3 linked regions of the Schizosaccharomyces pombe genome follow. The protein of the gene in region 3 binds, or shares a complex with, the protein of the main gene of each other region. Each region holds a gene or a part of one and is shown on either strand. Other genes may lie near its edges. The genes, in order: rrp42, rrp41 and csl4.

Region 1 (4,484 bases), on a different chromosome or scaffold from region 3:
GCTTGTTGTTCTGACAATGCCAAAGGAGCCGAAACGTTGGTGCAGGTTAAAATGGAAGAAGAGCTTTTTTCTAAAAAGGGATTGCTAGTGACAGAGAAAAATTATTTAGAGGTTTATCCATATGAGAAATGGGAAAGTTCGGATCAATTACCAGAGTATAGACTTCACGAGGAATTCCAACCCCACATTCTCGACATGATGGACAGTTCAACGTCCTCCCCTTCCTATATCACTGAACCGGAGTTAATTGCCTTGATGGATGCCAATGGAATCGGGACAGATGCTACTATGGCAGAGCACATCGAAAAAGTTCAGGAGAGAGAATATGTCATAAAACGAAAAAAAAGGGGCCAAGGTGTAACTGAATTTGTACCAAGCTCTTTAGGAGTTGCTTTGGCAAAAGGCTATGATGAAATTGGTTTAGAGTGGAGTTTGACCAAGCCTTTCTTGCGAAAAGAAATGGAAGTTCAACTTAAAAACATAGAAAATGGCCAACTTAATCGGAATGTTCTAGTTCATATGATCCTTACCCAATTCCGTGATGTTTTTCATCTCACAAAGCAAAGATTCGATTGTTTAAAAAATGTAAGTCAAATTATCATTGTTTCCTACTTTTCCAATTTTCAAAATCCCATACTTTATTTATTAATCTTTTCATTTTATGGTTGCTAACAAATATAACGCAGAGTTGCAGAGTCTACCTTATGAGTCATAATGAACCGCAAACCTAGATAACCAGACCGCTCGTATACTTTTATTAACTTATTACCTTTCGTTTTTAAGCGTCGCATTAAGACCTTCATTTTTTTGGATAGCATCAGCCTTAAAAACATAAAACATCTTGAGTTGGATCCGTTAAGCAAGTCGACTTAATATCGTCAATGTCAGAAAAGACTAGCACAGTTACAATACACTATGGAAATCAGCGATTTCCGGTAGCAGTCAATCTAAATGAGACGTTAAGTGAACTGATTGATGATTTACTTGAAACGACTGAGATTTCTGAGAAGAAAGTCAAGCTTTTTTACGCTGGCAAGCGTTTAAAAGACAAAAAAGCCTCGTTATCAAAATTGGGTTTAAAAAATCATAGTAAAATTCTATGTATAAGACCACATAAGCAACAACGAGGTTCCAAGGAAAAAGACACGGTTGAGCCCGCTCCGAAAGCGGAAGCGGAGAATCCTGTATTTTCGCGTATTTCTGGAGAAATAAAAGCCATCGATCAGTATGTTGACAAAGAACTTTCCCCCATGTACGACAATTACGTAAATAAACCGTCGAACGATCCAAAGCAGAAAAACAAACAGAAACTAATGATAAGTGAACTACTTTTACAACAGCTTTTAAAATTGGATGGAGTTGACGTACTGGGCAGCGAGAAATTGCGTTTTGAACGGAAGCAACTTGTTTCTAAGATCCAAAAAATGTTGGATCACGTTGACCAAACAAGCCAAGAAGTGGCCGCATAGGCTTTATTATTTTTATAGACGTTACCATTTCATTTCCCTTAAATTATTCCCATCTACTATACTTGCTATATGACTTTGACCTAAACGAAATACAATGACCAACCATAGTAACCAAAAATACCGATGCATGCCTCTTCATGTAACAAAATTGATCCTGATTCCGTAACCCAAGTATTGCATTTATATATATATATAGAGAGAAAGATGCTATTATATAGGAAATGGAGACCAACCCAACCCAATTCATTTATGGAAGAATATCAAAAAATCCTAAACCCTTAAAAGATAGAATATCGCTGCTGGCGTTCAAAAGCTTAGTACCAACGGTAGACGCAGTCTCTAACAATTCTATATATCGCTCTACAGTTATTGCACGTCCAGTGGATGCGTAGCCTCCTCCAGTACCCACGACCCTGGTATAGCTAATAGCACCACTAGCTTGAACACCAATCGCATATGTCACTTGAGCGACACTTGATTCCTCAATTGTAGGATCAACAATTATCACTTGATCAATGCTACTAACCAAAATTATGACTGACATTAATTCTAACCCTTGCAAAGGTAATGCATTTTCCCATTCTGAATCAACATCGTATTCTTCGGAAGGCTCATATTTAGTAGATCCAATAGTGATGTCTGTGACATTGGGGGTAGAAATTTTAGGTAAACGTGTAGTCTGTAATGCTAAATAAGCAGCAAGACTTAAAGCTGAAAGAATGTTTTCGTAAGGAGACGAAGAAAGTATTACAACAGCATCTACGTGAATAATCCAAGCTTTAGATGGTGTAAATTTCAAATAGTCGACAGCAAGTGCGTTTAATAAATCCTGAAGGGCACTTGTAAGGAATGAAGGAATTTCATCGGTTTCACGATTCTGGATTGAAACAGATGGAGAACTACATAAAAAGTGTTAGCATACCAGCTTTTTTCAATTGATTCATATTGTTTGTTACGCCAAACAATGTTAATACGAACTCCAAATATCTCACGTACATTTCAACTGAAGCGACATATTTACCACCTTCGGGAGTAGCATCACCCACTTCTGCTTTTACACCTATGACTATCTCCACCGAAGACGCCCATTTAACTCTAGCAGAACCATTTGTACCAGGCAGAACATCTACTTGTCCAGAAAGCGGACGAAGCTGGTCTATCGAACGTCCATCATTCCGAATTGCAGGCTCAAATTCTGTTATTGATTTGTGTGTGTACGATAGTTCTGGTAATGACAATTGCATATGTTGGCTAATGGTATATCGTTTAAGAATAATTTTCCTTGCAATATTGCGTTGAGTTCTTGCGTATATTCTAAAGTTCGTTATGTATGCTACGCAGTTTTGTATCTGTTTAACGATATGCAAAACCGCGATAAGTTTTACATGTGATCTGTTATATTATAATACATAGGTATAACGGCTATGAGTCATTGAAAATATTGGTATATGTAGGTATTATTTATGATCTATTTCTGTTATTAGCTTCTGACTAAAGTGAGGAACGAAATTTAGTTTCCTATTTAAATTGTTGAACATATAAACTAAATATTTGTTTCAGATATCAAATGATTTGCCCCAATATCTATCATCTACGAGGCTATGTTTAAATAGAACATGTTCCAAATGTGATACACAACGTAGTAAATTATAGCGTTGTCAGTACTACTGCGACATGTTTTTTTATTAGCTAAGACTTGTTTATTGACACAGCAGAAAAGGCGCATTCTCTAAAAATTTCGCAAGTTTACATCAGTTGAAAATGCTTGGGCAGTTGGTGCTTCATTATAACCTATTCCTTCAAAATTTTGGATGCAAAACCTACGCTGAAATATTATTTACCACTTTGATGCAATTTGGCCGAGTAGCAATAAGATCATATCTGGTGTTCTGTTCGATAGCGTGCCATCTGTAAGTATCCATCCACAAGCAAGTTGGGCCTATTGGATCATGGATTTAAAGACGTTGTCATCGAAATAAAACTATCCAATTTCTTCTTTGATATAGAGCTAGTTCACTCGTTGCCTAGACCTATTTAGTTAAGGCTGTCTGTAAAATTTACCAAACGCATCAATTGTGTCCCTGATAACGTGCGTCGATTTTGGATTGTCAAATATGATTACAGTAGATCTGTTATTAGCTTGCAGTTCTCCTTTGTTCTCATGCGTAGATGTGATAGAATCCTCCCATTGCTATAGCTTCTAACTGAATTTAGGAACGTGATTCGATTATAAATTATTTATAATAATCGATTATTAAGGGATGTAACGGATTGTCAATATAAACAGACAGATCTCACTAGTATTTATACATTTGTGACACATGTTACAAGACGTAGTTCTCCATGATATACTGTACTATTGCAAACACGTTATTGAGATTAGCGTTTGACGCTAATCTGTCCTATAAAAAAACTACAAAAACTGTAGAACAAACAATAGCTATAAGACAATGTTTGGTACATGATATTTCATATTCATGATTTGAGATCATTTAGAGACTATGTGCAAAAATAAAAATTCAAAGAATGTATCCATAAGTGAAATTTGATTAAAGATGAGAGATAAAATTTATGGTGATAATCGCAGATTTTTTAAAACCAGGGAAGAACGTTCCAAGATAAAAAAATAAATTCTACCACCGATAAAGCAAGATTAAAAGTTAAATGATTAAAATAAAGAGCAGAAAATCTGTATGTGAAAGTAAAAACCGACAGAAAAGATTTATATACAGTCTAAGGAGTTGGAGATATAGGTTGGTAGCGTTGTTTGCTAAGACCAAATAATCCAAATCTCCTGCACAAATAAATTGAGAATAAAATAATGATAGTTAAAGCAACAGGAATCAAACCCAAATAAAGCCATTTGTAGTTTCCATTACCTAAATCCGGAGAGGGTTTAGGTACCGATGGTAAGCTGGCAAAGTCATTATTAAAGAAAGCAGTAATCAAGGTCTTCATTTCATTAGGATGATCGTATGGAACCATGTGACTAGCTTCAACTATGCGAGCAAAGGT
Region 2 (3,406 bases), on a different chromosome or scaffold from region 3:
CTCACCGTCGTTCCATATTGATTGTTGGTGACGGTTCCCTTCATTTAACTGTTCAGGAAATTTCTGCTACCATCCGTAACGGTCTCACCCCTATCATATTTGTAATTAACAATAAGGGATATACAATTGAACGTCTCATTCACGGTCTTCACGCTGTTTACAACGACATCAACACTGAATGGGACTATCAAAACCTTCTTAAAGGCTATGGTGCCAAAAATTCTCGCTCCTATAACATTCATTCAGAAAAGGAGCTCCTCGATCTCTTTAAAGATGAGGAATTTGGAAAAGCTGATGTAATTCAGCTCGTTGAAGTTCATATGCCTGTCTTGGATGCTCCTCGTGTTTTGATTGAGCAAGCCAAACTTACCGCTTCTCTTAACAAGCAGTAAAAAATATGGCTATGGCTATATTATTATGATATGTTTTTGATTTTGAAATTTACAATATTTCTCAAATGATGCTTTTGTTAGGTTAGTTAATTTGCAACAGTCGTTTTTTTTTTCTACGTCAATCCATATTTCTTTCATAAAATGAATGAATATATTGAAGTTTATGCAGCGGTTGTTTTTTTGTTGGTAATTAGGATTCATTGAATGATTTATTTTTTTTTTCTTTTTGCATCCCCTTACTCCAAGGTAGACTTGTCCAGATAATTCCCTGTTAGTATAAACTCAATAACATAAAAAAAGGTCATTGAGACGACTGGTAATGAGTAGCAGCAATAGAATCACTAAATAATATAGTACCTTCAATTTGGTCTCTCGTCTATGTCTTTGGCATAGATGGTAGATACAAAGCATTCGCTACAACCAAATCTTCCTCATGGCTTACAGATACCATTACGGGAGAAAGCGGAAATCGGGGATCATGAATAACAACGGAAGGGTAGCCTATATTAATCATAACAAAGTCAGTAACTTTACAAACCTTTTATTTTTAAACATTGAACATGGAAAACAAATGACACACCTGTGGGAGTTCGAACATACTCCATCATAGACATGTAAACTCGAAAATTCGGTTGTAAAGCTTTGAAAACAGCTTCTTTGACGCACCATCTACATAGGAAAATAACCGTTAAAACTATGAAACGATCATAAATATAGACAAGCATACCTAACAGCAAGCCATTTAGCCTGTTCGCTTAAACGAGGCAGCGAGGAATTGCTTTTAATCAGGTTGTACTTTTTAATTTCATTTTCACACAGACATTTTTTTAAAAAGTTCTTTTCCCATTCAGGAGAGCGTTGAATTAATCTTGAGATTCTTGAAATTTTTAAAATGTCAATCCCTAAACCCATTTCGATTTTTGATTCTTTATAACATGAACAGGAAATATTAATGGTAATGCAAGAAGAAAAAAAGAAATCTATGGCTTCAATAATTTTGAACGCTTAATTAATAATATATTGTAAACTAAATTTCCGACACACTAAACGAGATATAAAAATCTTTATCCTTAAATAAAATGAAATAAATTTATCTAATTCATTATCGATTAGTGCCCCCAAAGACATCAAATCCAATTCGTTTCGTAGCGAATGCAGTAGCAGGAGTTTTTACTGTAACAAGTGTACTCTCTACTCACTCCCAGTTACAAAAGTGTTCAAAGGGAACCAAAAATTATATATTTGTAATCCTTTCAATCACGAAAAAAAAAATTTCATATGGTAAGAGATAGAATTTATCTCTAGATAATACGAGTACTAACCATATAGTCACACTTTGAGATTTTATCCCTTGAAGGTCTTCGAAATGGTAAGCCAATTCATTTATGGGAAATGAAAAAGAAACTTAAAATTTACATTCAAACATCTATGATTCTTATAAAATGTATTAATCTTTCTGTGTGCTAATATTTGTTGCAAGATGGTCGACGGTGGGATGAGATGAGAAACTTTCAGTGTCGTATTGGAATCGAGCCTTCGGAGAATGGGTCGGCGTTTATTGAATTGGGTAACACAAAGGTCTTGTGTATAGTCGATGGACCCTCGGAGCCTGTAATAAAGTCCAAAGCTAGAGCTGACAGAACATTTGTGAATGTCGAAATAAACATTGCTTCTTTCAGCACAATAGATGTGAAAAAGAGATTTAAATCGGATAGGAGAATTCAATTGCAATGTTTAGCTTTACAAAATACATTTGAGGAGATAATTCAAACAGAATTATATCCCAGAAGTCAAATTTCTGTCTACTTGCATGTTTTACAAGATGATGGTGCAGTAATGGCATCTTGTATCAACGCTACTACTCTTGCCTTAATAGATGCTGGTATACCAGTTAAAGATTTCGTTTGCTGTAGTACAGCTGGGATTGTTGAGTCTGATATGCTGTTGGATTTAAACTCACTAGAGGAGTCAGCTCTTTCATGGTTGACGGTTGCTGTTTTGGGGAACATAAAAAAGGTCGTATATATGCAGCTGGAAACTAGTATGCATTTGGATTATTTGGAGTCAGTAATGAATATGGCGATCGCTGGATCAGAACATATTTATAACACGATGCAAAGTGCGGTTCGACAAAGCGCTAAACCGGCACTTGCAAGTCTCAGCTAATGACAAAATTTTGGGGAAAAAAACTATTAAAAATAAATGAACGGGAAGATTAATTTTTATAATTATACATTGATAAGTCATCACAATTGCAACTTTACTTAGCTCTACGATATTCTGACAAAACGTATACAGCTTTACTCATTTTATTCCTAGTACAACGTTTTTGTCCTTATCCTTGGTATTTCTGTATAAGTATCAAAAAAATCACCTCGAATATCGTATATAATCTTTTAATGATTGCGTCCCTTTTTTGTCTAAAGGGGCTTATATTACAAAAAATATGGATTGTACTGTAGATATTATGCATCAAAAAAGGCTCATTAATTAGTTGAAGATTTTATGAATAAATTCGGTTATTCAGATCTCACTTATTATAATAAATTGATTATTTTTTGGGGGAGGCTTTCATAAACAACCGGGAATTTTTCATTCAACAGATATTACAGATTGATGTGGATTAAAAAGAAAATATATATATATATATATATTTTTTTAGATTTTTAGATATAAGAAACCTAAGGTTTATTATGAGAATCGTAAAACTGTTTTTCGAGATAAATGTTAAATTTGTTAATGTTAAAATATGAAAAACACAGTATTTTTATTTTATATATTTCTATAATGGTGCAAACTAACAGTAGCTCTTGTAGCTCAGTGGTAGAGCGCCTGTCTCGTAAACAGGAGGTCCAGTGTTCGAGTCACTGCCGGAGCAGTTTTTATATTTTTCGATCACAGATCGGCCTTTCTAATAAGCATTGAAAGCTACAAAATGAGTATACTAAGATACTTATTAATGCATATTCTTGTAAATAGGGTTTCTCACAATTCATCGAATATACATACTCAAA
Region 3 (3,455 bases):
GGGTATTTTTAGTTAGAAGAACGGTTGCTTGTAATGATGAGGAAGGATTCGTGAGCCGGATATAGCTGGAATAATGTTCAATACCTTTTCCTTTAATAGATCTATTTTACAAAATAAATTTCGTTGATTAATAAAACAAAAGATCATTTAAAAATCGTGCGCTTCACAAATTACTTTAATTTTCTTTTGACACAAGATTGTGTTCCTTTCCAAACTAAAAATATAATTGGGTTACTTCTTATATTGATAGCAAAGTTAGCTTCAAAATTTTAAGACAAAAAGGTGTTTTCAATTTGATTAGTTTATTAAAATTCTTGATTTTTTTGTTTTTGCTGTATGTTTTATAAAAAGTATCATGTCACTTGAAATACATGCTGTAAGACTACCTACTTTTGTTTAGCACTACCATACTGTAATACAACTAATACTTAAATCACTTTATCATGAGTCTTGCTGATTTTATGGAACGTAAGTGTCAAATTTTCAATAGAGAATGAAGTGACTAATATAGATGTTCGTTAGAAAGGGTTCAAGTCATTACAAACGATGGTCGCGTTGTGCTAGGTTCCCTGAAGGGATTCGATCACACGACCAATCTTATACTTTCAGACTCATTTGAAAGAATTATTAGCATGGATCAAGACATGGAAACAATTCCTTTAGGCGTTTATTTATTACGTGGAGAAAATGTGTAAGTGGACGCAGAGCCTTGTACTGGCGGTACGTAAATCAATAATCTAATAGTTATTTTTAGAGCAATGGTTGGATTAGTGAATGAGGAATTAGATTCAGAAATAGAATGGACCAAAATTCGAGGTGAAGCAATACCTGACGTTGTGCATTAATACAAAAACCGGACGTTAAACTTCAAATGAGAACAAACGTTTAAGGCTACATAGGATTTGGGTTAATGATTTTTTTGTTATATTTCCTCTTTGTGCGGGCGAATCCTTTGCAAATTTTGTTAAGCTTTCCACGATATATTCATACCTTGCAGCATGTCTTTTATCAGGAAGCTATTAGCTCGTAGAAAGAAGTGAAAATTCTTTCTTTATTTTTTTAAAAAAATATGACTGAGGTTGTAGATTAATTCTGATGACAAAGAGTTGACACTTGAACGAAAATACTTAAAAAAATGGTTTAAAATACCGAGTTCGAGGACATCGGTTCTTTCAGAATTTAAAAAATTCTTGGTTTCTTGTTAAATTTGTGGATCACAAACTCATTTTTCTTCTTATTTTGTGGGTTTCATCTTTCTTAAATGATTCTTGGGAACGTTAACATACCTTTGTTTCCTTAATTTGATTTATGCACTTTGATTTTGAAATTTGTGGTCAACTTGTTTAAAGACTTTATATTTATCATTGATTTTTGTTATTATATGGAAAAAAACATCACAATTTATATCATTTACTGTGCATAACATTCTTCATTTTTGCTGTCACGCTTAATGTTTACACTGGAAAATTTCTCTACCTTGAGAAATATTTCAGCATCATGGTCCAATTTACAAAGATCATTTGAGTTAAACAAAAAAAATGATTTATTATATTTGCTGCTCATATTTTTTTTTTAGTGATTTTTTATTTTGGCATCGTTTTGTGAACTTACTTTCCAAGCTTTGGGATTATCAAGAAAAAATTTTTGTTGAAAGAAGAGCAGAAAAACTGTTTGATAATTAAATGCCTTTGCAATTTCATTTTCTCAATTTAGCAAAATAAACTGAAATTTCTGCAGCAGTGACTTTAGGTTACATTGTAACCTACAGTTTACAACGACCTTTGTGCTTACAGCAACTTTTTTTCAATTAATTTTTTACAGCCATACAAAACGGACTTGATTCCTTTATTTTTAGTTTATTAAAGCCGTTAAATATGAATTTGGTTCTCCCTGGACAGGTGGTCGCGAGAGGGGCTCCTAACGGTGAAGGAACGGTAAAGAGAGGAGATTATATTATTTCCACACGAACTGGCATCTTTGATCCAGAGAAAAATTCTGTAACGTACCCAAGAAAAGTTGAAGAGACAGCCGTTTTACCTAATGTCGGATCTATTGTTTTAGCTCGCGTCAGCAGGATCAATGCTCGTCAAGCAACTGTAAACATCTCAGTCGTTGACGATGTCTGCACCAAAGATGAATTTCAAGGGGTAATACATGTGCAGGATATTAGAGCTACTGAGAAAAATAAAGTCAAAGTGCAAAATTCATTCCGACCGGGTGATATTGTCAGAGCACTTGTAATTTCACTTGGAGACGGCTCTTCGTACTTTTTAACAACAGCTCGAAATGATCTTGGTGTGATTTTTGCTCAGTCTAGTGAAACAGGAGAGCAAATGTTTCCGGTGGATTATCAGCATATGCAAACAAAATCAGGATATACGGAAATGCGTAAATGTGCTAAACCTATATTAGACGAATAAAATGAGGGGATAAAATTGCTTTGTTTTGATATAACCTGATAGTTTTTTTTCCCTCTCGGTTCGTTCTTTCCTAACAAAAAAAAAATTCTGAAATTGTTAGAGATTTTATGATACGAATATACGGAACACGGATAAAAATAATATTGAATATAGAAATATTGGAAGTTCATTAGAATGATGATTGAGGTGACTTGCTGTCGAAACCGATATCATTTTCAATTAGAAGTCAAATGTATAGTTTTATAAGATATAGAGAACCTTTGTAATTCAACTGAACGGACAGGAGCTCTGAAGTTTCTTAAAGTTATTTACTTAATGGAACTGAATTGGTCGGTTGTTTATAAACTCTAATTCATTAACAAAAACATGAATAAGGAGTTTCTAGCAATAATATGTGTTATGTTTACAACTTTCTAAGAAGGTTACTGTATTAAGTTATTTTGTGTAATTTAATATCGAGGATTGCACCTTTCATTGGAGGCTGTGATATCCTGAAATAACATTTATGATCACAGATTTAAGGATGAAGTATTTAATGACATGAAAATTAGTATTCGTACACCTCTCAGTAACTTTTCAAAACTACTTTCAGTTTTTACATTAAGGGATTGGATGTACTTTTTATACACAGTTTTATAAAATACTAGGTTGTCTCTAAACATCAAGTATCATCTCAATCTTTACTTTCGGCCATTAGACTGATATATTTTATATCAATTAATTAGTAGACAACTGTTTCCAGATTCTCATATAAGCACGAGAGCTTCTATTCTACCCGTCTTTTCCGTATATAGCTGTCATGACTCATTAAGCTACTCCAGCGTGAGACTATCAAATTTAATCTCTTCATCCCTAATATTTGTTTGTAAATACTTATAATTGCAAAATATTCCATTACCATGACATCAAATAGAGGATTCTAAATCCAATTCGCAGGTACACTGACTTTAATGGATTCTGGGCTAGTTCCATAAAAAGGGATTGAAAGGTTTTATTTTCCATATGATAATAGGTTTCAATAATCAGTTCGACAAA

The links.
Region 1: csl4 (region 3) and rrp42 share a complex: the UniProt entries of both Schizosaccharomyces pombe proteins name them as parts of the RNA exosome complex.
Region 2: csl4 (region 3) and rrp41 share a complex: the UniProt entries of both Schizosaccharomyces pombe proteins name them as parts of the RNA exosome complex.

The regions. Positions count from the first base shown.
Region 1 is NC_003423.3:4,230,182-4,234,665, reverse strand, and holds rrp42 (exosome subunit Rrp42), read right to left. Parts: upstream 2,726-4,484; 5' UTR 2,714-2,725; coding exon 2,466-2,713; exon of another isoform or gene 2,400-2,465; intron 2,369-2,399; coding exon 1,717-2,368; 3' UTR 1,470-1,716; coding exon of another isoform or gene 882-1,469; 3' UTR 732-881; coding exon of another isoform or gene 687-731; 3' UTR 586-686; downstream 1-585. Other genes in the region: top3 (DNA topoisomerase III), read left to right, coding at 1-585, 687-731; BAG family molecular chaperone regulator Bag101, read left to right, coding at 882-1,469; kex1 (serine carboxypeptidase), read right to left, coding at 4,203-4,484. UniProt on the Schizosaccharomyces pombe protein: Non-catalytic component of the RNA exosome complex which has 3'->5' exoribonuclease activity and participates in a multitude of cellular RNA processing and degradation events.
Region 2 is NC_003424.3:3,161,551-3,164,956, forward strand, and holds rrp41 (exosome 3'-5' phosphorolytic exoribonuclease Rrp41), read left to right. Parts: upstream 1-1,576; 5' UTR 1,577-1,670; coding exon 1,671-1,673; exon of another isoform or gene 1,674-1,721; coding exon 1,722-1,761; exon of another isoform or gene 1,762-1,872; coding exon 1,873-2,558; 3' UTR 2,559-2,804; downstream 2,805-3,406. Other genes in the region: pdc201 (pyruvate decarboxylase), read left to right, coding at 1-392; ppt2 (holo-[acyl-carrier-protein] synthase new8), read right to left, coding at 769-893, 973-1,061, 1,120-1,304. UniProt on the Schizosaccharomyces pombe protein: Non-catalytic component of the RNA exosome complex which has 3'->5' exoribonuclease activity and participates in a multitude of cellular RNA processing and degradation events.
Region 3 is NC_003421.2:2,277,459-2,280,913, forward strand, and holds csl4 (exosome subunit Csl4), read left to right. Parts: upstream 1-1,809; 5' UTR 1,810-1,874; coding exon 1,875-2,420; 3' UTR 2,421-2,828; downstream 2,829-3,455. Other genes in the region: U6 snRNP-associated protein Lsm8, read left to right, coding at 444-468, 523-691, 755-845. UniProt on the Schizosaccharomyces pombe protein: Non-catalytic component of the RNA exosome complex which has 3'->5' exoribonuclease activity and participates in a multitude of cellular RNA processing and degradation events.